Linked DNA regions of Macaca fascicularis. The protein of the gene in region 6 interacts with the protein of the main gene of each other region in a biochemical or structural test. Links are inferred from orthologs where the notes say so. Each region holds a gene or a part of one and is shown on either strand. Other genes may lie near its edges. The genes, in order: USP20, RACK1, SP1, FHL2, NAA10, HIF1A and KPNA6.

Region 1 (3,500 bases), on a different chromosome or scaffold from region 6:
ACTTGGGAGGCTAAGGCAGGAGAAGCACTTGAACCCAGAAGGCAGAGGCTGCGGTGAACCAAGACTGCACCACTGCACTCCAGCCTGGGCAACAGAGTGAGACTCTGTTTCAAAATAATAAAAATAATAATAAAAGAAGATAAGATGAGATAAAATAAAATAAAATAAAAATACGCTGTCTCTAGATATGGTCACACTCTGAGGTACTGGGGATTAGGGCTTCACAGATGAATTTTGGAGGATACAATTTTCTCATAACTGGTAGGAGCCTTCTAGTCACCTTTAGGCGTTTCTGGGTCCAGGGTCACTGTGCTCCCTGCGCGAGCACTCAGGGCTCCCCGCTACGCAGCCCTTTCTAAACCGTGCCACCTGCCTCGTTTGCTTTCCTGACCTGGCTCTCTCTCTCCCTCGCACCCAGCCCACCGCTGACTCAGTTCTTCCTGGAGTGTGGAGGCCTGGTGCGCACAGACAAAAAGCCAGCCCTGTGCAAGAGCTACCAGAAGCTGGTCTCTGAGGTCTGGCACAAGAAACGGTGAGCAGCTGCATCCCTAGCCTCGGGCGGTGTGTGGGGACTGGGGTTTCCTGTCAGCACCCATGATTGAGCTCTTCCTATGGATTCAGCCCCCAGCGAGGACTTGCCTCATTTTGTCCCAGGTAATGCTTGTAGCAAGCCTGCAGGGTGGAAATTGCATCCAATCCTGTTTTACAAATAGGGAAACTGAGATGCAGAGAACTTTAAGTATCTTGCTCAAGGTCATAGAACCTGCAAAAGGTGAGCTAGAATTTGACCTGCTGTTGACCCTAGCCAGCAGCCACTGGGTAGATGTCTTTGCCAAGAGACATGGTGACCCGGCCTCAGCCACAGCTGAGGAGCGTGTGGAGGAGGTATGGGGCAGGGGGGCACAGACTGGATGGAGCTTCTGGCACAGTATGGAATGAATTTAAAGACCAGAGTCTGTGATTAGATCTATTTCTCCAGGAAAAGTCAAAGTTGGGAATAATTTAAAATGAGCACATAGAAATATGTATTATGTGTAGAAGCAGATGAAAAACCAGCGTAGGGCCAGGCGCAGTGGCTCACGCCTGTAATCCCAGCACTTTGAGAGGCTGAGGCAGGCAGATCACGAGGTCAAGAGATTGAGACCATCCTGGCCAACATGGTGAAACCCCGTGTCTAATAAAAATGCAAAAATTAGCTGGGCATGGTGGTACGCACCTGTAGTCCCAGCTACTCGGGAGGCTGAGGCAGGAGAATCACTTGAACCCAGGAGGCGGAGGTGGCAGTGAGCCAAGATTGCGCCACTGCAGTCCAACCTGGCGACAGAGCCAGACTCCGTCTCAAACAAAAACAAAAACAACAAAAAAAAAACCCAGCATGGGAGAAATATGTATTACGTGTAGAACCAGATTAAAAACCAGCGTGGGGCCAGACGCAGTCACTGACACCTGTAAATCCAGCACTTTGAGAGGCCAAGGCAAGAGAATCATTTGAGCCTGGGAGTTTGAGACCAGCCTGGACAACACAGCAAGACCCCGTCTCTACAAAAACTACAAAATTAGCCAAGCGTGGTGTTTGCACTTGTGGTCCCAGCTACTCAGGAGGCTGAGGTGGGAGGATTGCTTGAGCCCAGGAGGTTGAGGCAGGCTGCAGTGAGCCTTGATCATGCCATTGCACTTCAGCCTGGGCGACAGAGTGAGACCGTGTCTCAAAAAAAAAAAAAAAAAAAAGTCCGGGTGCAGTGGCTCACTCCTGTAATCCCAGCACTTTGGGAGGCCGAGGCGGGTGGATCACAAGGTCAGGAGTTCGAGACCAGCCTGGCCAATATGGTGAAACCCCATCTCTACTAAAAATACAAAAATTAGCTGGGCATGGTGGCGCACACCTGTAGTCCCCGCACTTTGGGAGGCTGAGACAGGAGAATCACTTGAACCCGGGAGGCGGAGGTTGCAGCGAACCAAGATCGCGCCACTGCACTCCAGCCTGGGAAACAGAGCAAGACTGTCTCAAAACAAAACAAAAAACAAAAACACAAGAAAACCAGCGTGGTACAGTATAATTCCGCTGTGTAAGAAGCCAAGTTTAAGTGTATATCTGTATGTATTTTTGTATATGCATCTGTAGTTTCACAGAAAAACCCAGAAATCTAATGGTAAGTATCTGGTGCCATTAGTGGTGGTGTTTTTCTCTTGTACTTTTCTGAAATTTTAGATTTGTCAATAATGAACATGTCTTTTGAAATGAGAAAACCACAGTAAGTGTTTCAGAACAAAAACAAATCATGTTTAGGCGAGTTTGTTGTGTGCCAGCAGGAAATGATGCCATTTTATTTGAGCTCTTTGCTTAATTGAGGCAGCTATGACTTGACATTTTCTTCTTGTCTATAGAGATGTGTGAGCCTCTTGGGGGTCCTGGCTGAGTAGGTCCCTCCCCATATGTCAGGAAATGCCTCACTCTGATCCAGCCTGACTGGCTGGCTGCCTGCTTCTCTCGGGAATGAGCAGCTCAAGGCAGACTACCTGGACTAATGGGTTTGGGCTTCCTACAGGCCAAGCTACGTGGTCCCCACCAGTCTGTCTCATGGGATCAAGTTGGTCAACCCAATGTTCCGAGGCTATGCCCAGCAGGTAAGCCATCTGAGCTGCCCAGGGGACACTCAAGGCCATGACCCACCAGGCCTGACTTTGACGCCAAAACCAGAGTGGAAAATCGCAATGGCAGCTGAGCACTGGTTGGCAGGTCTCAGGGACCAGGCTCTCATTCCTAAGCCCTTCACACATGTGAGGACAGTGGTGCCTCCCAGCAACCTGCTGACATTTAACCCCACTTCACAGATGGGCAGACTGAGGTTCAGGGGGCTGAGCCACTTGCACAGGCCACACAGCTAGTAAATGGTGGAGGGGAATTCTTTCTTTTAGCGAGGTGGGTACAGGGTCTCACTCTGTCATCCAGGCTAGAGTGCAGTGGGACAGTCATGGCTTACCGCAGCCGTGACCTCCCGGGCTCAAGCAGTCGTCCCACCTCAGGCTCCCAAAGTGCTGTGATGATAGGCATGAGCCACTGCACCCAGCAGAGGGGAGATTTGAACCTGGGCAACCTTGCTTCGGGGCCTGTGCTGTGCCCCTCTGCATTGCACTCAAAATGGCACAGGGTTTCACTTCCCCAAACCACAGGCGAAATTTCACTTTTACTAAAATAAAAATTTTGATTAAGAATTTTTATTTTTTAATCTAGAGAACCCCTTTGAAACCAACCACATTTTTCTATTTGATAAAATAATGAGACCAAGACAGAGTGCAGCCATGTGTACGCCTCAGCCCTGGGCTGATGGCTCCTGCCCTCCAGCCTCCTGCCCCAGATGGCCCCCGGCCTGGGCTTTCATGCCAGGCCTGCAGGCAGAGCTGGACCAGGCTGGGTCGCCTCTTGTGCTGCCTGAATGAGCGCCATGGATGGAGTGGCAGTCATGTAAGGACACCTTCCACCCTCCTTTACCTGCTGCCTG
Region 2 (3,944 bases), on a different chromosome or scaffold from region 6:
ACTGCTTTGCAGAATTAAATACCCTTGACTTGCCTCAAAGACCATGTAGACTGCTAACATGAAGTTTAAATTTTCTGAATTATGTTCAAACCTTCAGAGGAATGAGGATTCATCTTTGTTCCGTTCTTATGTGCCAGCGGTTGGACCTGCGGAGTCTGCTTTTCCTAAAAATTGACTGCAACCACTTTGAAATAATCAGTCCTTTCCCTCAAGAAGGTTCCCCAGGTTGAAGGTAGGTCCTGATGATCTGCACCTGGTATGTAGGACGCTGATGGGGTTTAAGTTCAGGGAAACTGCTATGTGACTTCTAACAAACATCCACTTGATGCTCCCCCAATCCTGAGAACTTAGACTGACAGCTCTCCTTCCCCCTCAGGGCCTTGTTTACTTAGTCCACAGCTTGCATCCAGTTTGCTAGTGCAAACTTAATGTGTAAGCATTGTAGATAGGATGGAGCTTTTATGCATGTAAGAAAAAAAAACCTTCTAAAAGCCAGAAAAGCCAGTTTTTTCTTCTTTAATTTGTAAAGCTCTGCCATAAACTTCTAGCGCGTGCCGATGGTCACCTGCCATACTCGTACCAGGTTGTCTGTGTAGCCAGCAAACAGAGTCTGCAGGGGAGAAATGACAGGGATAGGTCAGGCTGGCGTAAACTCTGCAGTCACTAGATTCAGCACAAGTGGCTTTCTTTGAGATGGTCTTGCTCCACTGTCTAGGCTGGAGCGCAGGGGCATGATCCTGGCTCACTGCAGCCTTGAGACCCTGCAGTTCAAGAGATCCTCCCACCTCAGCCTCCAGTAGGCATGTGCCACCATACTGGGCAGACTATAAGAAACCCCTCCCATTTTAACAGCCAGATTTTAAGTTGTGGTTATGTATTCCTTGAGGAAGAAACAGCTGGTGATAAGGATCTAGACATTTGAAAACAGGTCAAATGAATTAAGGTATTAACTGAAGGCTGATAGCTACTGGGCTCCACATCAGTCTTCCCTCTGATGCTGAAACACATTCACTGGCATGGCAAACTAGGGCATCCTCTCATCAACCTGGCTTGTCATTCCACTTTATGCCAAAGACACTGCTCTTGTGTCTGACAGACTAAATGTGCTAACAGAATGAGGGAGAAAAATAATTGGAAGCCGAGTCACCTGAGAGGACACAGACCACTTACCTGGCCATCGGCAGACCAGGCCAGGGAGGTACACTGCGGTGGTTCTGCCTTGCTGCTGGTACTGATAACTTCTTGCTTCAGTTCATCTACAATGATCTTTCCCTCCAAATCCTGGGGAACAGGGCAAAAGCAACCTTAAGACTTAGCAATGACAGAGTCCCCTCCTCAAGATTCTCAAGTTATAAAGGGATGATTCTGCTTCCTAGGATACATGTATCAACGCCTAGATGCATTTTTAGTTGCCACTAGTGGAAGGATGGTTTGCTACCGACATCTAGAAGCTGGAAATGCTGCTACACATCCTAAAATGTACAGGACAGCACATCACAACAGAGTTACCCAGACCAAAATGTCAATTATGTGGAGGTTGAATAGGCTTAGCTACCAGGTGGGAGTCAGATGGCATATATTGTAACCAAAACATTGTCAAGGCTCAGAGGGCAGCCAGGTACCCAGTCCACTGTAACCCACACTCACCCAGATCTTGATGCTGGGGCCTGTGGCAGCACACAGCCAGTAGCGGTTAGGGCTGAAGCACAGGGCGTTGATGATGTCCCCACCATCTAGCGTGTAAAGGTGTTTGCCTTCGTTGAGATCCCATAACATGGCCTGGCCATCCTGGACAGACAGGTAAGGTAAATCAGGACACAGTGACTTCTTCCAGATGTTAATCCTGCCCATCTCAAGATTCTGTCAGAATCAATTCTTACCTTTCCTCCATTACCTCAGGCTTCTTTGAAAACTAATGACTCAAGTACCAACATTGATCTCTGTATGCCTTTCCTTTAAGGTTAAGACCTTACCAACCCTATCAAAAAACCCCTCCCAACTTACATAAATCACTCTAATCGTTTCTGAAAACCAGGATCTCAATCTCATCAATTGCTTCGAGGAACCAACTTTAGGCCGGGCACTGTGGCTTACGCCTGTAATCCCAGCACTTTGGGAAGCTGAGGCCAGTGGATCACCTGAGGTCAGGAGTTCAAGCCCTGCCTGGCCAACATGGTGAAACTCTGTCTCTACTAAAATACAAAAATTACCTAGGCATGATGGTGGGTGCCTATAATCCCAGCTACTAGGGAGGCTGAGACAGGACAATTGCTTGAACCAGGGAGATGGTTGCGGTGAGCTGAGATCATGCCACTGCACTCCAGCTTTGGCGGCTGAGTGAGACTCCGTCTCAAAATAAACCCAACCTTATAGAAAATAATCGTTTTCTTCCAGACAGTATGCCTTAACTGTCATTTGCTGAAAGTAATCTTTGGAAACATTCTCAGATTGCCATTATCTCATTATCCTCCTGAAACCATCCTGACTAATGTTTGCCGTTTTATGTTAGAGACGCTGGCTAAGTGCTCCTTCCATGATGCTGGTCTTCCACTGAGCAGGAGACTCCTGGTCCCCAAATACCTTGCCTCCAGAAGCACAGAGGGATCCGTCTGGAGAGACAGTCACCGTGTTCAGATAGCCCGTGTGGCCAATGTGGTTGGTCTTCAGCTTGCAGTTAGCCAGGTTCCATACCTGCATAGATGTGAAGTTGACAGGTGAATATCCTGGCTCTGGATCAGCCAGGGTCAGGTCCAACAAAAAAGGGCTTGGCATTCCTGGCTACAGTAGCCATTTATCATTCAGTAACATGTCCTGGCCACTTAACCTTAGATTGTAACACACATCCAATGCAGTGTGCTCACTTACAAGGGACATCAATTAGCTACTTCAAACCATGTGACAAGAGAAAGAGTCAACTGAGAGAATCTGTAAAGCTTTCCACAGGAGTTGGAGCGTATGACCACCTGGGAGCACAGCACACCCTGACTGGTAAAGCCCCTGCCTTGGCTTGAAGCTCACCTTGACCAGCTTGTCCCAGCCGCAGGAGACGATGATAGGGTTGCTGCTGTTAGGCGAGAAGCGGACACAAGACACCCACTCTGAGTGGCTCTCATCCTACAGAGGATGAAAAGGAAATAAGGGGAAACAGTCCTATCCCATGAAATGCTAGACCCCCCCCCCAGCCAGATGATGGCTGGCAGCACCTTTCAAAAACCCAGAACCCAAACCTTTAAGCTCAACAGAATCCCTTTAGATTCCAGATAAGAATTTCTTTTTAAATTTAGAGACAGGGGTTGGACGCAGTGGATCACGCCTGTAATCCCAGCACTTGGGGAGGGCGAGGTGAGTGGATCACCTGAGGTCAGGAGTTTGACATCAGCTTGGCCAACATGGTGAAACCGTCTCTACCAAAAACACAAAAATTCACCGGGTGTGGTGGTGGGTGCCTGTAATCCCAGCTACATGGAAGGCTCAGGCAGGAGCATTGCTTAAACGCAGGAAGCGAAGTTTACAGTGAGCCACGATTGTGCCATTGCACTCCAGCCAGCGCAATGAACGAGTGAAACTTTATCTCAAAAAAGGGCCAGGTGCGGTGGCTCACGCCTGTAACCCCAGCACTTTAGGAGGCCAAGGTGGGCGGATCACGAGGTGAGGAGATCAAGACCACCTGGCTAACACGGTGAATCCTCGTCTCCACTAAAAATACAAAAAAATTAGCTGGGCATGCTGTAGTCCCAGCTACTCGAGAAGCTGAGGCAAGAGAATGGCATGAACCTGGGAGGCGGAGGTTGCAGTGGGCCAAGATCGCACACTGCACTCCAGCCTGGGCAACAGGGTGAGACTCCATCTCAAAATAAATAAAAATTTTTATGGATGGGGTCTCACTGTGTTGGCCAGGCTGCTCTCCTGTCCTCAAGCAATCCTCCCACCTTGGCCTACCAGAG
Region 3 (4,063 bases), on a different chromosome or scaffold from region 6:
TGGCCTTGAGAGTTGGTCCCTGATGATCCACTGGTAGTAAAGTTCATAATTCCCATGTTGCTGGTGGTAGTAGTAGTTGAGTAGCTATTGGCATTGGTAAAAAAGGAGCTGGAACTGGCTTGTGATGACACCAAGCTGGCAGAACTGATGGTAGTCCCTGAGGTGACAGGCTGTGAGCCACTCTCCTGGGACCCAGAGCTGCTGATGGTGACTGCCTGAGAGCTGGGAGTCAAGGTAGCTGCAGAAACGCTGTTGACAGGTAGCAAGGTGATGTTCCCATTCAGGGCCACTGGTACATTGGTCACATACTGAGTCTGTCCTGAGAGTACATTATTAGCCAGGCCTTGGAGGGGGACAGCCTGCTGGAGTAGATTTGGCATAGCAGCAATGATGTTGCCTCCACTTCCTCGATTTGTGATAATCTGTTGGTTTGCACCTGGTATGATCTGTATTTGACCAGAACCATCCTGCTGCACTTGGGCCCCAGTGGCAGCAAACTGCAGCTGTTGCCCATCAACGGTCTGGAACTGTGGGATTACTTGATACTGAATATTAGGCATCACTCCAGGTAGTCCTGTCAGAACTTGCTGGTTCTGTAAGTTGGGAGTGGCAGCCACAACATACTGCCCACCAGAGACTGTGCGATTCTTGGAAGACTCACTGCCATTGCTGCCATTGGTACTGCTGCCACTCTGTTCCTTTGAGGTAGGGGTAGCCCCAGAGGAGGAAGAGATGATCTGCCAGCCATTGGCACCCTGTGAAAGTTGTGTGGCTGTGAGGTCAAGCTCACCTGTTCCCCCTGACTGACTCGGGCCCTGGGAGTTGTTGCTGTTCTCATTGGGTGACTCAATTCTGCTGCAAGTTGCTGCCAGCAGAGCCAAAGGGGATGGCTGGGACTCCTGGCCAAAAATAAGGGAGAGGAAAGGAGTTAGTGACACCCAGCTGCCAGCCTAGGGGGCAGTATACAACAAATAAACAGCAACGTAGTGCAGACAAGGAGCAAAAAACAGAAACAAAAAGCTGACCTATCTGTATTGCTGAAACTCCTGTCTTTGGGGATCTCCATACTCTTACTTCTTATCTATAAAATGGTTTTGATAAGCTCCCTAAAAAGCTTTCTATGAAGAGTAAGGCAATTATCTAAGAATATTTACATCCTCTCAACATCTTCCCCACTCTATTATTATCACTTACCTGCCCTCCTCCTCCTCCACTGCTGCTGCTACTGCCTGTGCTGCTACTTCGAGCCTGTGAAAAGGCACCACCACCATTACCACTGCCCCCATTATTGCCACCAACTCCTTTTTCAATCTTCACCACAGCTGTCATTTCATCCATGGAGTGATCTTGGTCTAAAACAATTAAAAAACAAACAACTTAAACTTGAGGGAAGAAAAGAGATGAAGTAGGAAGGATAAAAGGAGGCTATGATGAAATAGCAATGACTAACAGGAAGGCGAAAGGCGCCAGTATAAAGAAAATGGATTGGAGGGCAGAGGGGAGCTGCAGGGCATGCAGGACATGAACTAGGCTCAATGGTGCCAAAAGTGGGCCTCAATTCTCCCTTACACAAAATTAACTAAGAAAACATTCAAAAAGTGCTTTGGGGATAGGAAATGTGAAGGATGGTAGTCATGCTGAAAGAGTTTCAAAATAAGAAAAAGTATCCTAAGGGAAAAAAGGACAAGTAAGGCAAAAAACAATATGTGGGCGGATGGAAAGCTTGCTAAAATTAAGGTTAAAAGAGATGGAGAGGCCAGGCGCGGTGGTCATGCCTGTAATCCCAGTACTTTGAGACGCTGAGGCAGGAGGATCACCTGGGGTCAGGAGTTTGAGACCAGCCTGACCAACAAGGAGAAACCCCGTCCCCACTAAAAATACAAAATTAGCCGTGTGTGGTGGCGCATGCCTGTAATCCCAGCTACTCCCGGAGGCTGAGGCAGGAGAATCGCTTGAATCCGGGAGGTAGCAGTGAGCCGAGATCGCACCATTGCACTCCAGCCTGGGCGACAAGAGCGAAACTCCCTCTCAAAAAAAAAGAGAGAGATAAACAAAAACCCAAGTATTAAAAGTAACAAGAGGAGAAGGGAAAAAGAAATAAAAAGTTTTAGTAGGAAAACATTTGTGAATACTACTAAGGAACTAAAGGGGTGTACTGGTTAGTAGTCAGGAGGTTTCGGGGCGGAGGGCGGGCCCTGAGGGAAAGGGCGGTTTCGGGGTGAGGGGCGTGGAAAGGGCGGGACGGTGGGGCGGGGGGAAGGGAAATCTACGGAAAGTGGGGGGAGGAGGGCGCCGGAGCAGGCGGCGACCAGAGGACGGACCAGACAAGCGGTTGGCCCGGGCGGGGCCTTCACTGCTCGGGCCGCCCCCGCGGCTCCAGCCCCCGGCGGGAGGAGCCTCAGGCGGGCGGCCGAGTAGTGGGGGGTAAGGCCCGTCCCCCGTGGCCGGGGCGGGCAGGGGGCGGGCGAGGCCACGCTGCCCCCTCCCCCGGGGCGGGCGGCCCATCCCCCTCCTCCTCGGAGGCCCAGCCACTGCCCCGTCTCCCTCCCTTCCCTCCGCCCCGGGCGGGACCTAGGCCGCCGCCGCCGCCTCCCGCCCGCCCCCCCTCACGGCGGGGATCGCCCGGTCGGCCCTCGCGCGCGCCCCCTCACTCGCCTCCCACCCCTAAGCCTGGAGTGGACTCATCCTTACCGCTCATGGTGGCAGCTGAGGGACAAGCTCAAGGGGGTCCTGTCCGGGGGGGTTGGGGGGGGCCGGGAAAAACGCGGACGCTGACGAGGCAAGCGAACCCGGACCGGACAGGGAGGGGGGGGTGAGGAGGAGGGAGCAGCGCGCCACCAGCCCAACCTATGCCCCGCCCCTTCTCTGCTGCCCCGCCCAATGAGGGAGGGGGAAAGGTGGGACTTGCAGAAGAAAGACGGTGAGGTTTTCCAATGGCAAGACTCGCTTGCTCTCTAAGGCGTGTAAGACTAAGTTGCGTGCCTGGTGTCCGCCCAAAAAGACAGCCCTCTCAGTGTTAAAAGCCAATGAAGGATGCAGGAAGTGAAGATGGGCGGGAGCTGGGGATTATTGGCTTGGAAGGAAACCAGTCAACCGGCAGGCGGGCTCCCTGAGACATTGGGATAGGGAAAGCTTTGATAGGAATGACAGAACAACGGCCAACTAGAATCCGGGATATGCTTGGGCAAAATCCTAGTGGGAGGAGAGGTAAGAAGTAGACAGGAATAGGATAGGCTGAAGCTGATTAAAACCAATCAGAAATCAGGCGGGCAGCCAGGAAAGTTATGATTGGATTAAGACTGAAAAAAGACAGGAAAGGACGCATATTGACGTGAATTAAAAGCCAATTAAACGCCAGATTAACTCTGAGGGCGGAAACTTGGAGTGGCAGAGGAGAATTGGCGGCTCCCTCAGTTATTCAATCCAATGAGGGAACGAAGTAAGCCTGGCACCGCCTCCTAGTTGGCCAATGGGCGTTACCGGAGCCGCCCATCATGAGGGAGGGAAGAGGGCTGTGCCAAGAGGAGACCGTCGCCATATTGGCCCACCTCAGGGGACGTTGTTACAGTCATTAGGTGGGACGCTTTAGTGGAGTCTTGCAGCTCAACAGGTGTCAGAGCCAAGGCATTCGGCGCGCAGTTCCGCATCAACACTAGGATTTGTTTGAGTCTTCATTTAACTGCCCCTATAAAGTACCTCTCAAATCTTACCCGTTTCCCGGGTGGGCGGACAGGCGGGCAGATACCTCAATGTCGCTGCAAGCCCTGCGAGTGCAGCCGGAACGGGATTTGGGGACAGCGCTCACCAAATAAGTTAATACTGAGCTGACCAATATGCAGAGTCTCCGTAAGATTCCAGAAAACGCCATTTTGTTAAGTTCCGCCAGACAAAGGCGCTAACCACTTACGACTGGTTAACTTTTCAAGCTTTGAGGCTAAAGTGCGGATAAGTCACTTCCATTTTTCGGAGTTAATAGTAAATACCGCCTATGCATAAAGCAAGATAGTTGAGCTCCTGCTTTTTGCAATCACGAAGGTTAAACTTTACTGCAGGCACCTGGATT
Region 4 (4,062 bases), on a different chromosome or scaffold from region 6:
GAAAGTAATCATCATGGGAGCTAAAACTGAAATCCACAATTTAGGATGACAGAGGAAATTCATTTGACTCACGCCAAAGTCAAAATGCCAGCCTAGTCTCCAGGAAGACACAGTTCTCAGCCCCTAGAGAAAGCACTTGCATTTCGTTTCAGATGGTCATCTTGAGGAAGCGGCTTCAGTATGACGCAACCTGAGATGGACACTTAATAAATGTGGCTTTGATCAAATTCTCATAATAAAACCGCACAGAAGAACCCAACGTCTGACATTTCCATTCACCCAGGCTCAAGGAACTTTTTACCTCGGGGCATCTGAGTCAGAGAGCCGCTTACCAACTTTACCAACTCAGGCCCCGGTGCTGACAAAGGAAGCTGCCTGAGTCACAGAGGCTGAATAACTGGCCCTCAGCACAGGACGGGAGTAAACTGATATCTAGTCTGATTTGTATGTGTGTGTGTGCAATATTCTACTGGGTGTTTTTGACTGCAATTTAAATATCTTTCAGTACTGGAAGTGGCTTAACACGCAATCTTGGGTCAAAGAATGCAGCATAAGGTCTCGTAGAAATATTCAAATGTTAAAAAATAAATAAATATTCAAATGTTCCTCCCGTGGTGTGTTTACGGTTAGAACTCAGGTTCTCAAGTTAAGCTGCCTGGGGTCAGATCTCAGGGCTACCATTTACAGCCTGGGAAACCCTGAGTTAAAGTTACTTTGATCTCTGTTTTCAGTGTCTTTACCTGTAAAAATGAGGCTGTCAAATAGGTACACACTGTCTATGATGTCCAGACTTTTTAACAACCCTGCCAAAGAGACAACATCATTGTCACTGTTTCCCAGTGAAGGAAACCGAGACACCACGACATGAAGTGATTTGGCCCAGGCTGCACAGGTTGAGGGACCCGGATGTAAATTCAGGCAGCCTAGATGCAGTCCCCCGCATCCTCTAGCCTACCGCATCTGCCTGTGGTTATTTGTGAGACCGTGAGCTAAAATGAGACAGAATCTATGTGCCCAGAACAGTTTCTGGTCTTTAGTAAGCCCATCATTAGCCTTCATCGACATATGATGGTGTAAACGCATTTTAAACCATGGCAGGCTAATAAACACCATGAAAACACAATTCTATGTATCAATTGATGATCTTCTAAATTGGAGGGTGATCTAAATCCAGTAACACTTGAAAAAATTTTATATAAATGCACAATGAAATGTTCTTTGAGTTTGATTTTATTAAAATTAAATTGATAGACTAGGAATTCCTGTACTTCTAAGACTTGCTGCAATTTTTTTTTTTTTTTTGTCTAAAACATCGTCAGGATAGTGCAAAACCTCTTTTCTTTAATATATTATTATAAAACATTCGTTAGTAGAGTCAGCACCAAAAATGTGAGATGTATTTGGAGTTGTGTTTTGAAGACAGTTCTCCTGATTCTAAGCCCAAATTGTGATTTATTACCTTCCAAAATATGTGGAAGGGAGTGCGGGCCTTAAGTTCAGTGCTGTCTAAGTTCACTGCTGCTTGGAGGCCAGCTACACATTTCAGCTAACGGGGTTAGCCTACTTCCAATTAAAACCTGACTGGGGATATGAAAGTAAATATGATTGATTCATTTAAAATCTGAAAAACAGTATTTTCTTCCCTCAATTTCTAGTATGCTAAGATATCACACGAGTGCAACTTAAGAAAAACTTAGAATCTTTTTCATTTAAAATACGCCTTTTTTTTTTTTAACCGAATGGTTCAGTTATTAAATGTCTACACGAGTCAAGGAGTGAGGTCACACTGCAAGCTCCACTTATTTCTACCAAAGGGAAATAGCCCGGACACCCCTGCGCAGACCACCGTGCCAGGACAACCGGCTCCGGAGTCGGGCCTTGAAGCAAGGGGACAGCGTCACCTCCCCGCAGCCGCCGGCTGGGACCCGCGGCCAGCCTTTACCCAGGCTAGCCAAGCCCCTGCCCGCATGGCGGTGCCCCACCTGGTGAGGACTTGGGCTGTAATCCCCCTCTGGGGATGGGTCCGTGGGCTCCTCTGAGCTCCAGCGCCCCCAGGGTCTAGCCCCCTCTCATTGCTCCGCTCCCCTCTTCCCGTGGTCTCCCCACTCCCAGCCCCCAGGGATCTGCTCCCCTCTCCCGGGTCTACCCTACAGCTCATTTCCTTTCTCCCGGCTTCTCTCCGCACGGTTCGGCTCCCCTCTCCCAGTGGTCTTCTCCGACCCACAGCTCTCCTCTCCACTCACCGGTCTCCCCAACTCCGGATCTGCTCCCCTCTCCCCGGGTCTCGCACCGGATTCGGCCCCCTCTTCCGAGTCCTGGTGGCTAAGCCCCTCGGCCTCCCTCCGGGGCGCAGGGAGCTGGAGGTACTCACGGCGCCGCAGCGGCCCGGGGACTCCCGGACGGCGCGGGCGGGCGCGGGCGGCTGGTGGCTGCTGCTCCGCTGCCGGCCGAGTGGAGCGCTGCGCGGCTCCCGCCCTCGAGAACCCCCTCCGTGTCATTTGACCATATAAGGAGATGCACGCCTCGGCTCGCTGGCACCGGGCGTGGGGCGCTGGGGGCGGGCGCCCCCTGGCCTAGCGGTCGCCGTGCCCCCGCCCCGGGCTGCGGCGCTCCCGGCCCATGCCCTTTGTTTGCCAGGGCTCTTTCTTCTTGCCCTCCGGGTCTTGGGAGCACCGTGGTTATCCCGAGAGTCTCCTCCGACGTGGGCGTGAGTTTCGGACGGGGCCTGGACGCCAGTGGCAGGGGTCTGCCCACGCCGGGATCTCTGCCTGCTCCCAGGAGCAGGAAGCTGGCGAAGCCCGAGGAGGTGCCGGGGACGGCGGAGGGAGGAGGGGGCCACTTCTCAGGAGGCATGTGCCTGGGATGTATTTGCACGGTGGATTTTTTTCCTTCTTACCCTGCAGATGCTTCTTTACGAAAAGAACCCCACAGATGACCGTAAAGAATCGTTCGTTCCACTAGGGAGGGGACTAAAGGAAGGTCCTATCCCCACCTCTCCCTCTCGGGGCCAGAAGACCAGTTAGACATCCTGGATTCCCCTCCAGGGCGGGAAAAGCAAAGTGAGCTGGGAGCGTGCCTCCCACACTCCAAGCCTGTGCCCTCTGAGTGAGGCTGACGCTGGGTAGGGACAGATGGCACTGTTCAACATTGTAGCAGGGAGAGCACAGGCTGAGCCCATCCCTGGGAGAGGGTGCATCGTGATAGAAACGTTTGCTCCTGAGCAGGTAACTGGTCCACTTGCAGAAACCGCTGGACGATGAGCAGGTGGACAACAAAGGCGTCCTAGGCACTTTGGGGGCAGGTGTATTATTTTTAACATTCAGGGCAGCTCATAGGAATACATCCTCCAGAGAAGGCAGGAAGAACTCCGTGATTGCTTTCTTTTAGTTGATACTCCCCATCTGGTAGCCCTCATGGATCTCCATCATGGAATCACAGAACTTGAGAATCAAGGGTTTCATCACCTTAGCTTCCACTCTGTGAGCACTAGCTCCACCTGGTATCTCATTTGATCCACACTTCCTTAAGGTAAAGATTTTTACCAGATTTATGGTGAGGAAAGTTCAGCTCAGAGAGATTTGCTCAAGGCCACGTGAAAGGTAACTGTGCCAGCTGAGATTTGAACTGGAGTCCGGTAGATGGCAAAACCATGTAAGTATATTACGGGATCAGAAATGCCTCTCATCCCTCAGTCACTCAGGTGACTCCAGAGGACTGAGACTTGCCATAAGCCCAGCCAGAACTAGATGTGCGGAATACAGCCGTCCCCTAACCCCACCCCACGGTGTCCCTGAAACGGGACACTTCCCTGAAGAACCTGAGTTAAGGCCACCCTCCCTGAATTTCCACTAAGTGTCAAGGCAGGCTAGTATTTTGAAATTCAGAGCAAAGTTTGTGTAGAAAAGGCTCCCAGCCCCTGACAGCTACCTAGCTGTGTTGTCGCTATCGTTACATATTAGGAAATGGTCTCCTAGTTCTCAAATGGTGAGCCTTAAGCTGCAGTTTGTAAAAACAAGTCCTAAAATGATGAAACATTAATTCTGCATTTATCTTCTTTCTGAT
Region 5 (2,637 bases), on a different chromosome or scaffold from region 6:
GGCAGGGAAGGGAGGACTCAAGGACCGTTGACAGGGCGTCTGGCTGGGTCATTATACTCAGGACAGCTGTAGATAAGCCCAATGAGCAGTCAGATGTCCACATCTGGAGCCCACGGCTATGCCGCAGAGCTGCTGTAGCCCAAAGCAGGTGTGATTAGGGAGAGAAAAGGTCTGAAGGTGAAGATGGGAGGAGAACTGAAGGATACCAAGAGTGGGAGCCCTGCTGTTGAGCTTTGAGCCTAAGCGGCCCAGGCTTATGCCACAAAACACATTCAGCGTGGCCAAGCAGACCTCCAAGGCAGGGTCTCTCCCTAAGCCCAGGGCCTCCTTCCCGGGGCCACAGCTGCTGAAGGCCATGAGACTGGGGAGTCCCACCTCCAAAGCTCTTCCCTTCTATTCGGACTGGCAGGATGCTCTGGGTCAAAAGGCTGAGGCTCACCTCCCCACCAGAGGACCTGGAGAAACACACCCTCTAAATGTGCACACGCACACACACGAAGTTCCCCAGTGCCACGGAGCGAATTTATTGTGAAAGCTCGTGGGGTGAGGAAGGGATGGGGCAGGCTCTAAGAGGCCGAGTCGGAAGCCTCTGAGCTGTCCTTGACATCTGTGCTCTCTGTGGTCTCGCTGACCTCGCTGAGGTCCTTGCTGTCCCCACCACTATCCTCGGCAGCCAGGCCCTTCTCCTCGCGACAGGCCTCTCCTGAGCTCGGAGGTGAATTGCCTTTGCTCTCCACCTTGTTCTCGATGGCACCCAGCACCACATGCCTGCCCTTCTCCTTCAGCTCCAGGTGCCGCCTCAGCTGCCACCAGGAACCCAGGGAGAAGCAGGAGGTAAAGAGATGGGGCCTAAGTTTCCAGACAAAGGGAGCCTGGCCCTGTCGCTGGCTGAGGAGAGGGGCATAGTGAGGCAGCAGGGCTAGGCAGGACACGTGGGACTGAGTGGGGACACCTGGCTGGAGCCCCAGTCCACTGCTACCTGGGCTCACTGACTACCACGGAGGCCCCCACGACACAGCGTTGCCCCTTGACCAGCCCTGCCACCCAAGGAGCCTGGGGCAGAACCCTGACTCAGAACTACCTCTGAGCAGGCAGGCCACCCACTGGTCCCCAGGCCTCCCCACTTCCCTTCTAAAAGCCTCCTCCCTCTGCCTCTCCCATCACCCTCCAGGCTGCTAGGCAGATGGCCTCCTCTAAAGCCCAACCTAGGAAACTGAGGTCGTGACTCCTGGCAACATAGCCACAAGGGCTGGCATTCAAAGTTGGTCGCACCTCCAGCCACTGTCTCGGGGCTCCCCAATGCCACCCCCGCTTGCCTGGCTTGGCTTCATGCAGGCTCTTACCTCGTCGGCCATCTGAGTGAGGTCTCGCTTCATGGCATAGGCGTCCTCCCCATCTGCATAGTATTTGGGCTCCACTTCACTGATCCTGGGGGCAGAGGGTAGAGAGCAAGGAGGAAGACCCATACCTGGGGGACACCCTCCTCCACTCCTGGTATCATGGCTACTGGAGCAAGATGCCGTGTTTTCTCCCTGAAGGGCTCCTTTCTGAGACAGCAAGTCCGGTGTGACCTGCCCTCTGTTCTCTCCAGCAAAGGCTCCAGGAAACAGCGGCCCGCCCCACCCCTGTCCTGCCCCCGTTCTGTGTCCTTAGCCTGGCTACTAAGGATTCATTTCTGTGGTTTCTTGTGAGCTGAATTCCTGAATTCAGCCTTCCCCTTCCCTCCCTGCCCTGCGTCCTGTCCCTTACTGAGCTGCCTCTCAACAGCCATCAGAACCCAGGAAAGACAGTGAGCTCTGTTTAGGGGAGTCATCCCTAGGCAGCACGGGCCCTGCCTGAGCAGCTCAGGGGCCATGCCTGCACTGGGGAGGCATGTGTGCAGACTCGGGTGGCCATGTCCCTGGAAGGGGAGCTGGACTCAATGGCCTAGGCTGGCCCTGCCAGGCCTAAGACATGAGGATTGTTGACTTAGCTATAAAGCAGTTCCCACCAGACATCCTCATCTGGGTCACAGATCCCTCTTGCCAGCATCCAGCCCAGAGGCCACTGCCCTTCCCAACAGTCCCTCCTCTTCACCCCTACCAAACAGGGGCTGACTGCAGTTAGTGTCCCTCCACGGGCAGCCCACCCCAGCTTCACTTGCAAGCACTTTTTTCCACTGTCTACTGGGCATGCTGACTGCCAGGTCCTCTCTCCTGTGCTAGGCACACGGGGCCTCCCGGTCCTCAGGCAGACCTGCCCCATCCACTAGGCTGCCTGGCCGCCGGTCCTTCCTTCCTGAACGTGCATTCTCCTTGATTCTGCTCTCTCTTGGATTCTTCCAGGTGCTTGGCCATGCTATGATCTGCTCACGCCAGGGACCCACACCTCTTTATTCCCAAACATTACTAAACAGCCCGTGTGCCCTTCACCAGCCTCTGCCAGCATGGGCCAGAGCTCCTCCATCACAACACACACGGAGCACGTTTCAGCAGGCAGGTGCTGTCTCCATGCCGGCTTTTCAACCATCAGCCACCGAGTGAATGTGGAGGCATCCTGGCAGCACTGGGGTCCACAGCGTCCTCCCCACATCCGGCCCACCCCTAGCCTGGAAGGCAACTCAGCCGGTCTCAGGTGCCCTGGTGGGCCAGACCTGGG
Region 6 (4,077 bases):
GAGGTATCTGCCTCCACATCCTATGCTCTTAACCACTATATACTGCTTCCTCAAACAAAAGGACAATCAAAATAGAAATATAACGAGAAAAGTTTGCTAATAAATGAGAGAGCTTCTTGACTTTTAATGGCCAAAGTTAATGAAAGGAAATTAAGGAATATCTATTCTCAGCAATTTTACTTTAATGATTCAGTAATTATTTGTTTTGGAAAACTTTGAAGGAGTCTGGCCTGAAGCCTGAAACAGAATCATTACTCTCTTGACATTCCCTTAAAAATCTAAAAATCAAAACACATGTGCTATTAAGTAAGTTCAGTCCCTATAACTAGGAGGCAACATGAAATGTCCTATCTTAAATCTAAAATATCATAGCTATACCCATTTTCTATTCTGATTTCTTCCAATTCTTCAGGTTGAGTTTCCTAGACCTTCTTTTAAAGACAAATTTGTTTCCCAAACTCTGACATTGGGAGCTCATTTAAAATGAAAAAAAAAAAATTGCATGAAGAAAATCCCCATCCCTCAAACTCTCAGTTATCTTTCAAAAAACTGTAAATTAGTTAGAAAAGGTCATCTATTATAAACAGCATCTAAAAATGCTGAGTAACCACCACTTATTAAGTGTTTAACTTTTCAGTTATATCAAGAACTTCTATATTAAGAAATGAATCCATCCAACCCAAGGTTGCTAAGTTTTCAAATGAGAAAATTTTGAAAGTAACAGATGAGCTGAGGAAAATCTAAGAACTCATTTAGAATTGGGGCTGATGAACAGCAGCTAATTTATTCATTCATTCATTTCAAAACTGCTTCTGATATTCTGAACTGATGAATGGCAAAGAAATGAGTTCGATACTGTATATAAAAAGGAATTGATTGGTGCATAATTTAATACATTGTATTAAGTATGATTCAATATATATAAGGATAGAAAACTGGCACTACACAGAGGTAATCTGCCGCTTTATCATTTCATCAAAAGCACTGTAATCACCTCCGCAAAATAAACTGCAATTAATTTCTGGTAACTCTTGGAATGAATTTAAACCTGTTTGCTCACTTTTTGAATTTTGTAAGTGCCTTCTCTGGTGTACACAAACTAAGAATTTAATATTCTATTGAAGAAGGACCAGGAGAAGGGATCTACAAAACAGCAAGAATATAAACAAGTTTATCTTCTGCTGATACTGATTAGGGAAATTAATCTCTCTGCCAGAAGAGTGGAAGGATTTAAGAGCAAAGCCAGTCTACTAACCAAAACTCTTACTCTAAATCTTCAATTCCTTAAATGATTTCCTTAAAAGTTAAAATACCAAAGTGGACAAAATTGTGTGTGTGTTGGGGGATGGGGGAGTCCGCTCTTAATACCAGTGGTTCAACTCACAATTCTTAATCTCTAATGTACCCCTTAGGCTCAAACTTCAAGGTGATTTATAAAACTTGCATTAAGTTCTAACCGAGTGATTAACTTACTTTGGATATATGTTGAAGGTTTTCCTTTAATATACTTCAGTTTCAGGAAAACGAAAGAGTTCGAAAATTTTTGCAACATTTTAGTGCCGCATTTCGTTCACTCATCATATAATTTTTTCAGTATCATTAAAACTGTCTGCCTACATTTAACCAGCCCCTACATTTTCATTATTTGAAGAATGAGTGAGGCATGTATTCATTTATAATATCTGCGTTCTCGTGACAGGTGATATGAACTCAAGTATCCAATTCTAAAGTTCTCTTTAAAATGTTGCTATTTCTCTAAATTCCCATTACTCTGACTCTCAGTCTAGGCAAGTTTTTTAAGGCGCTTAAAACGAAACAAAACCTGCACGTGCAAACTAAAAAGTTCGCATCTTAAGGCCATCGCGGCAAATCCCTAGGATGCACAAAGGCAAAGACACCCGCGACGGCTGGACAACTACAGGACAAGATCGCATCCGACCACGCGAGTCCCTCAGTCGGGAACTCAGGGCCCCAAGCCCACTAGGAAGCCAGGACCAGCGTGCAGGGTCCGCCCCAGGGCCGAGTTTTCAATGGAACCGGAGAGGATGGGGGCGGGAAGGAGCGGAAGCTCCGGGTGCAAACCGCGGCTACCGAGCTGCAGCTCATTTCTCTTCCCGGGGTTTTCGGGCTGGGTAAAGTCCCCTCTGGATGCGGCCACAGAGCAGGCTGGGTTTCTGAGGCGGGTAGGTGGGCGGCGCGAGGCCCCCACGGCCGGCGGGGAGGGCAAGCAGGGCTCAGATCCCGGCCCCTGAAAGCACTTTCGAGGCGTCTCCCACCCCCCACGACAAGATGGCGACGTGGACAGCGGGGGAGCCCGGCCGGCGAGGTTGGGGGAAAGAGAGGGGAGGGGAGAAGCCGCAGAAACAAAAAGGCTGCCCCCCCACCACCAGGAGCGCCGAGGCCGGCCCGGGAGCCCAGGGCGGGACGGCGGGCGGGGGCGCCGGCGGCCGGCCGAGGGAATGGGCTTACTTTTTCTTGTCGTTCGCGCCGCCGGCGCCCTCCATGGTGAATCGGTCCCCGCGATGCCTTCACGCCGGGCGGCCCCCAGGCTCGCTCCGGCCTAAGCGCTGGCTCCCTCCACACGCGGAGAGAGAAGGCAAGGCAAGTCCAGAGGTGGGGGTGCGAGGCGGGAAACACCTCGTGAGACCAGAAGCAGGAGAAGCGGGCGGCAATCGCCGGGGTCCGGGCCCGGCTCCGAACCTCTCCTCAGGTGGCTTGTCAGGGCCCAGCCCGACGCACTGGCCGAAGCGACGGCGAGGGTGATCCTCTTGTCCCCTCAGACGAGGCAGCACTGTGCACTGAGGAGCTGAGGCAGCGTCAGGGGGCGGGCAAGGGCGGAGGCGCGCTTGGGCGCGCAGGGAGGGGAGGGGGCGGGAGCGCGCCCGCCCGCCTGCCCAGGCCGGCGCGCGCTCCCGCAGGCCCGCCTCACCTGAGGTGGAGGCGGGTTCCTCGAGAGCCAATGGCGAGCCACGCAGGCGGCCAGCCCACGTCGCTCTCAGCCAATCAGGAGGCGGTCAGCTGAGGCACAGCTGGGACGTGCTGCGGCGCTCACGTGGTAGTCTGTGTTTAGCCGCGGAGGAAAGAGAAAGGAGCTGGGGGCGCGGCTCAGCGCGGGTTTGGGGACTCTGCGCCTTCCCCTAAGGAAGGCGGTGCCCGGCTTTGGGAGGCGCTGCTGAGAAGGGATTTCGGTTGCCTGGTCCCAAACCTGCATCATATTTTCCTACTCTTCGTGCAGCAATGTAATGCTGCCGCTCTCTTTCTCTTCGGCCGCAGTGCTGAGCGTGACTGCCGCCCAACTCTGCTGAGCTCTCTGTTCAAAAAAGCGGACTTCGCCTCGTGGCTGCAAGCCCTTCTTTGGTCTCGTTGCTCAGAGGTGTTACAACGGGGTCTTTCCTTGCCAGGTTACCTAACCATGGGTCAATGTCACCCACTGCACCTTTGCCATGGGACACAGGGGAACTCACCTTGTCCACTAAGTTTTTCTGTGGCGGAGTTTAATTACTGAATAAATGCAATTAAAAATAAAAATTAACTCCTCTTGCTGTAAACTTCAAGGGAAATAAAGTTGCAGGGAAATCTTAAAATCTGAAACTATGTTAAGCATTCACAAATAGGTATAAATGACTTTAATAAGCATATAAACCAATTTCGGGGAAAGAGTAGAAAAAATGGTCTTTGGCAACTTTGCAAGCTACTAAATAAAACGTAATCATTTTTGTCTTTGGAGGCATAATGGATATAAAAGTGTCTTCAAGCCTGTCAGTCTTATAAAACAAAAGAATATATTTTGAGCCCAATAAAGGAGCATTGCACATATATCTCTACTTGGCGCTAAATTATTTTACTTCTCACCTTTGCGTTACGAGTTTCTTGTTAAAACCTAGCTTTGGGTTGTAAATATAAATATCTGTAGTGGCTTTCAATTGTATTAGCATGTAAAAACAATGGTCTATATAAAAGCATCAAACTCTGATAAGACAACAACCAATGTATACAGCACCTCTTTCTAACTGGTCAGTAGACCTACAAAGATACGATTCAACATTGACCTTAGCGGACACCGTGGTTCCAGCTACT
Region 7 (3,500 bases), on a different chromosome or scaffold from region 6:
TGTAGTTGCCTTGGACCAACTCTATATGTAGTAATGGAGAAGAGTGCCCACTACCACTCTCCAATTCTATCCAACTAGCAAGAATTCAGTGGGAGAAATGGAAGTTGTACCTTTATCTCCATGATCTCTGGGTACTGAGATATGGGTACTGTTGTGTCTTTTTTCCAATGGCACTTCCAACAACAAATGTATAGAGTTTTTTCCACATCAACCACCCATTCTCTGACACCAACCGTGTGTCCAACAATTTAATTCAATTCTGACACTAACACCTAGAGTTAATGTAGACCTCACAGGTTAGTTCCACAAGACTGCCCCGACTTGAGATACCAGTTGCAAGTCCCAGGGACCATCTGTACTTGATACTCCTATCGCTCAGGAAATTCCAAGAGTTTTAACACTGTGCCAAGAACCAGGACAAAGACCAAATACATTTTTTATTATACCACAGGTACTATAAAGAATCATACCAAATCTAAGCATTACCTGTTCCTGAACATCCTCAAAGTCTGAATTAAGCAGCTCTATAAAAATGGGGACAGCCCCTGCTTCAATGACAATTTTGGTCTGCTGAGAGGTTCCAGAGGCAATATTCGTTAGAGCCCAGGCAGCTTCAAACTGAAAGTGAGATTAAGCAATGATTGAAAGGTCATTTCAGACTGAGCAGCCATGCCTATCAGCTGGCCCAGAACAGTAAGCCTCCTGCCCATGAATTTAAAAAAACAAAAACAACCTCACAAAACACAAGCAAGCCTCTTGCCTACGAATTTAAAACACACACACACACACACACACAAAATACAAGCCTTTCCCCTCCCGTCTTTAGAGAGTGGGAAGATGCAGTGATGTGATATACATGGGAATAAGACATTGGGCTTCTAGGGTCCCAGGTTTAGTCCTGCACTACCACAGAACCCATGCATCCTTTGCCAGGTCACTTTTTTATTTCCTGAGCTTCACTTTCTTCATTTCTGAAATGAGGATTAGAATGAAATGTGTCTCTCAAAGTCCCTTTCAGCTGAGTTCTGGCAAGTTCCAATGGATTGACCCATCACCCATCTCTGAAACAAGAGACCCAGAGAGGCTAAACGACTTGCCTCGGTGACACAGGTAGTGGACTATACCCTCTGATTTATAAATGAATGATCAGTCTATCATAGTCTTGTGTCTTTCCTTTGAAATTGTTTTAAGAAAGATATTTTGGCTGTGAGGGAACTGATGGTTTCTCCTGAATGTTTCTTAACATTACTTGTATACTTCCCGAGAGATACGTCAATAGAAACATCTCACTACAATTTCTTGGAAGTAGGGCTTTCACCTAATAACCCCTTCCCAGTAGTGGGGGAATGGGGGTGGGGTGGGGATAAGTAATGGGTACAATAAAACCCAGAAAGAATTAATAAGACCTACTATTTGATAACACAATAGGGTGACTATAGTCAATAATAACTACACAATTTAAAATAACTTAAAGTGCATAATTGGATTGTTTGTAACTTAAAGGATAAATGCTTGAGGAAATGGATACCCCATTCTCCATGATTTGCTTATTTCAAATTACAGGCCTGTGTCAAAACATCTCATGTACCCCATAAATATATACACCTACCCTGTATCCCCCCAAAATTAAAAAACAAAACAAGACAAAACAAACCCCTTCCCTTCAGGCCTCACCTGTAATGTACAATTCTCATTCCTCTTCAGAAACTCCACGAACCGATCGACCACTCTTGGAGTGTTGATAACTTCATCTATTGGAGGACTAGGCTCTGGATAAGGGAGAAGGGAAAATAAAAATGTAGGAGAAGCTTTTGCTGATCTCTTCATGGGGGTCAGCTTGCAATCCTTCTTAGATACTTCTGACCACCCCCCTTACAAACATTCCCAAACTCCCTTCTGGTAAGGTGGTTTTAACAATATCTGCGGCCGGGCGCGGTGGCTCAAGCCTGTAATCCCAGCACTTTGGGAGGCCGAGACGGGTGGATCACGAGGTCAGGAGATCGAGACCATCCTGGCTAACACGGTGACACCCCGTCTCTACTAAAAAATACAAAAAACTAGCCGGGCGATGTGGCGGACGCCTGTAGTCCCAGCTACTCGGGAGGCTGAGGCAGGAGAATGGCGTGAACCCGGGAGGCGGAGCTTGCAGTGAGCTGAGATCCGGCCACAGCACTCCAGCCTGGGCGACAGAGCGAGACTCTGTCTCAAAAACAAACAAACAAACAAAAAAAAAACACAATATCTGCTCGTCTTTGAACTGTATAATACAGTTGGAATGTTAAAGAGTAAAGCCAATCCTAATTTAAGTATGCTCATCTTTGGCTTACTAAATGTAAGCAAAAAAGGTGTGGGACAGAAGAGTGCCTAAGGGATGAACAACCGTGGTCTACACATTTCCCTTTCGAGAAAGACCAGTATTCTCTTCTTGGGAAGACTATTTGATAACTGAAACAAGAGGTATTTTTCCTATCATACATTAAATTTTTATTAAGTACCTATGGTGTGCCACACAGTTCTAGGTACAAAGGACACAGGAGAGAAAAAAAACAAAACTCTCTGCCCTCAGCTTACATCCTAGTGGGAAGAGTCATTTTATTATGTTAGAAGATAAATATGATGGGAGGAGAAGAGAAGAATATGTAGGGCAAGGTAGAAAGATAAAAATGTTGAAGTTAGGATTTAATCATAGGAGTAAGGGAGTTGCTACACAGATATCTGGGAATAGAAGACATCAGGCAGAGGAAATATCCAGTGTGAAGGCAGGAAAGTGTCTATCTCGTACAAGGAACACCAAGGTCAGTAGGGCTAGAACAGAACGAGTGAGGGCACGTGTAGTTGATGACATTAGTGAAGAGAACAGAGGCTAAATCATACAGGGCCTCTCTGAGAAGGGCCAGGCTTTGTACCTTTGGAGAGCAGTTTCCGGAATTTCTGTGTGGTTGCTAACTGCAGGTCAGAATCATCAGAAAAGAGCATCTCCACCATCTCTCTTGTGATCACACTCTCCTAGAACATAAAACAAGTTTAGAACTTTGCAAACCAACATTACAGTCAGATGTGAGCACATAATTCTGCTTGACATCCTGTTTTCTAAAAAATTGAGGGCAAGAAGATGGCACAATAGACAGCCTCAGGAGAAGGGGTCTGTTTAATCGATAGGTGCTTCAAGTTGGGACATTTGAAAAGTGATTCCTAATTCTGAGGCAACTGATGGCTTCCCTTAAATGTTTCCTCAGATATTTCTAACACAGTTGAATCTCTGTTGACTTCTGAAGCTGACAAAAGGGTCCACAGAGGAAAGAACTTGTCATGGTTACTGACAAAGCTAGTAGATGATGTGAATGGCCCAATTTCTGTTCTTAGAAGCAGTTACTTTCCAGGTCAGCCTGAGGCACATGCAGGGGCCTTACCCCAGTGGTAGAGCTCACATAAGAGTCCATGAGAAGACTATCGAACATGGCAGCTTCTTCATTAATCAGCTCCACATTTCTCCGTTTAAA

What was found.
Region 1: of the proteins of HIF1A (region 6) and USP20, one has a biochemical effect on the other in vitro, tested with the Homo sapiens proteins (2 studies listed by BioGRID and IntAct, with this or other methods). The link is inferred for Macaca fascicularis from reciprocal best matches to the Homo sapiens genes HIF1A and USP20.
Region 2: the proteins of HIF1A (region 6) and RACK1 form a complex in vitro, tested with the Homo sapiens proteins (2 studies listed by BioGRID). The link is inferred for Macaca fascicularis from reciprocal best matches to the Homo sapiens genes HIF1A and RACK1.
Region 3: the proteins of HIF1A (region 6) and SP1 form a complex in vitro, tested with the Homo sapiens proteins (2 studies listed by BioGRID). The link is inferred for Macaca fascicularis from reciprocal best matches to the Homo sapiens genes HIF1A and SP1.
Region 4: the proteins of HIF1A (region 6) and FHL2 form a complex in vitro, tested with the Homo sapiens proteins (2 studies listed by BioGRID). The link is inferred for Macaca fascicularis from reciprocal best matches to the Homo sapiens genes HIF1A and FHL2.
Region 5: the proteins of HIF1A (region 6) and NAA10 form a complex in vitro, tested with the Homo sapiens proteins (4 studies listed by BioGRID and IntAct, with this or other methods). The link is inferred for Macaca fascicularis from reciprocal best matches to the Homo sapiens genes HIF1A and NAA10.
Region 7: the proteins of HIF1A (region 6) and KPNA6 form a complex in vitro, tested with the Homo sapiens proteins (2 studies listed by BioGRID). The link is inferred for Macaca fascicularis from reciprocal best matches to the Homo sapiens genes HIF1A and KPNA6.

What each region holds. Positions count from the first base shown.
Region 1 is NC_088389.1:14,041,855-14,045,354, reverse strand, and holds part of USP20 (ubiquitin carboxyl-terminal hydrolase 20), read left to right. Parts: intron 1-418; coding exon 419-532; intron 533-2,546; coding exon 2,547-2,625; intron 2,626-3,500.
Region 2 is NC_088380.1:188,333,219-188,337,162, forward strand, and holds the end of RACK1 (small ribosomal subunit protein RACK1), read right to left. Parts: intron 3,115-3,944; coding exon 3,019-3,114; intron 2,692-3,018; coding exon 2,581-2,691; intron 1,789-2,580; coding exon 1,648-1,788; intron 1,552-1,647; coding exon 1,510-1,551; intron 1,282-1,509; coding exon 1,171-1,281; intron 611-1,170; coding exon 545-610; 3' UTR 501-544; downstream 1-500. UniProt on the Homo sapiens protein: Scaffolding protein involved in the recruitment, assembly and/or regulation of a variety of signaling molecules. Interacts with a wide variety of proteins and plays a role in many cellular processes.
Region 3 is NC_088385.1:60,181,008-60,185,070, reverse strand, and holds the start of SP1 (transcription factor Sp1), read right to left. Parts: upstream 2,801-4,063; 5' UTR 2,699-2,800; coding exon 2,692-2,698; intron 2,441-2,691; exon of another isoform or gene 2,322-2,440; intron 2,188-2,321; exon of another isoform or gene 2,157-2,187; intron 1,353-2,156; coding exon 1,195-1,352; intron 900-1,194; coding exon 1-899. UniProt on the Homo sapiens protein: Transcription factor that can activate or repress transcription in response to physiological and pathological stimuli.
Region 4 is NC_088387.1:9,827,076-9,831,137, forward strand, and holds the start of FHL2 (four and a half LIM domains protein 2), read right to left. Parts: upstream 2,801-4,062; 5' UTR 2,499-2,800; coding exon 2,244-2,498; intron 124-2,243; coding exon 73-123; intron 1-72. UniProt on the Homo sapiens protein: May function as a molecular transmitter linking various signaling pathways to transcriptional regulation. Negatively regulates the transcriptional repressor E4F1 and may function in cell growth.
Region 5 is NC_088395.1:159,995,627-159,998,263, forward strand, and holds the end of NAA10 (N-alpha-acetyltransferase 10), read right to left. Parts: intron 1,429-2,637; coding exon 1,344-1,428; intron 804-1,343; coding exon 567-803; 3' UTR 501-566; downstream 1-500. UniProt on the Homo sapiens protein: Catalytic subunit of N-terminal acetyltransferase complexes which display alpha (N-terminal) acetyltransferase activity. Acetylates amino termini that are devoid of initiator methionine.
Region 6 is NC_088381.1:129,533,476-129,537,552, reverse strand, and holds the start of HIF1A (hypoxia-inducible factor 1-alpha), read right to left. Parts: upstream 2,801-4,077; 5' UTR 2,505-2,800; coding exon 2,470-2,504; intron 1-2,469.
Region 7 is NC_088375.1:202,872,079-202,875,578, forward strand, and holds part of KPNA6 (importin subunit alpha-7), read right to left. Parts: coding exon 3,411-3,500; intron 3,007-3,410; coding exon 2,907-3,006; intron 1,770-2,906; coding exon 1,675-1,769; intron 619-1,674; coding exon 487-618; intron 1-486. UniProt on the Homo sapiens protein: Functions in nuclear protein import as an adapter protein for nuclear receptor KPNB1. Binds specifically and directly to substrates containing either a simple or bipartite NLS motif.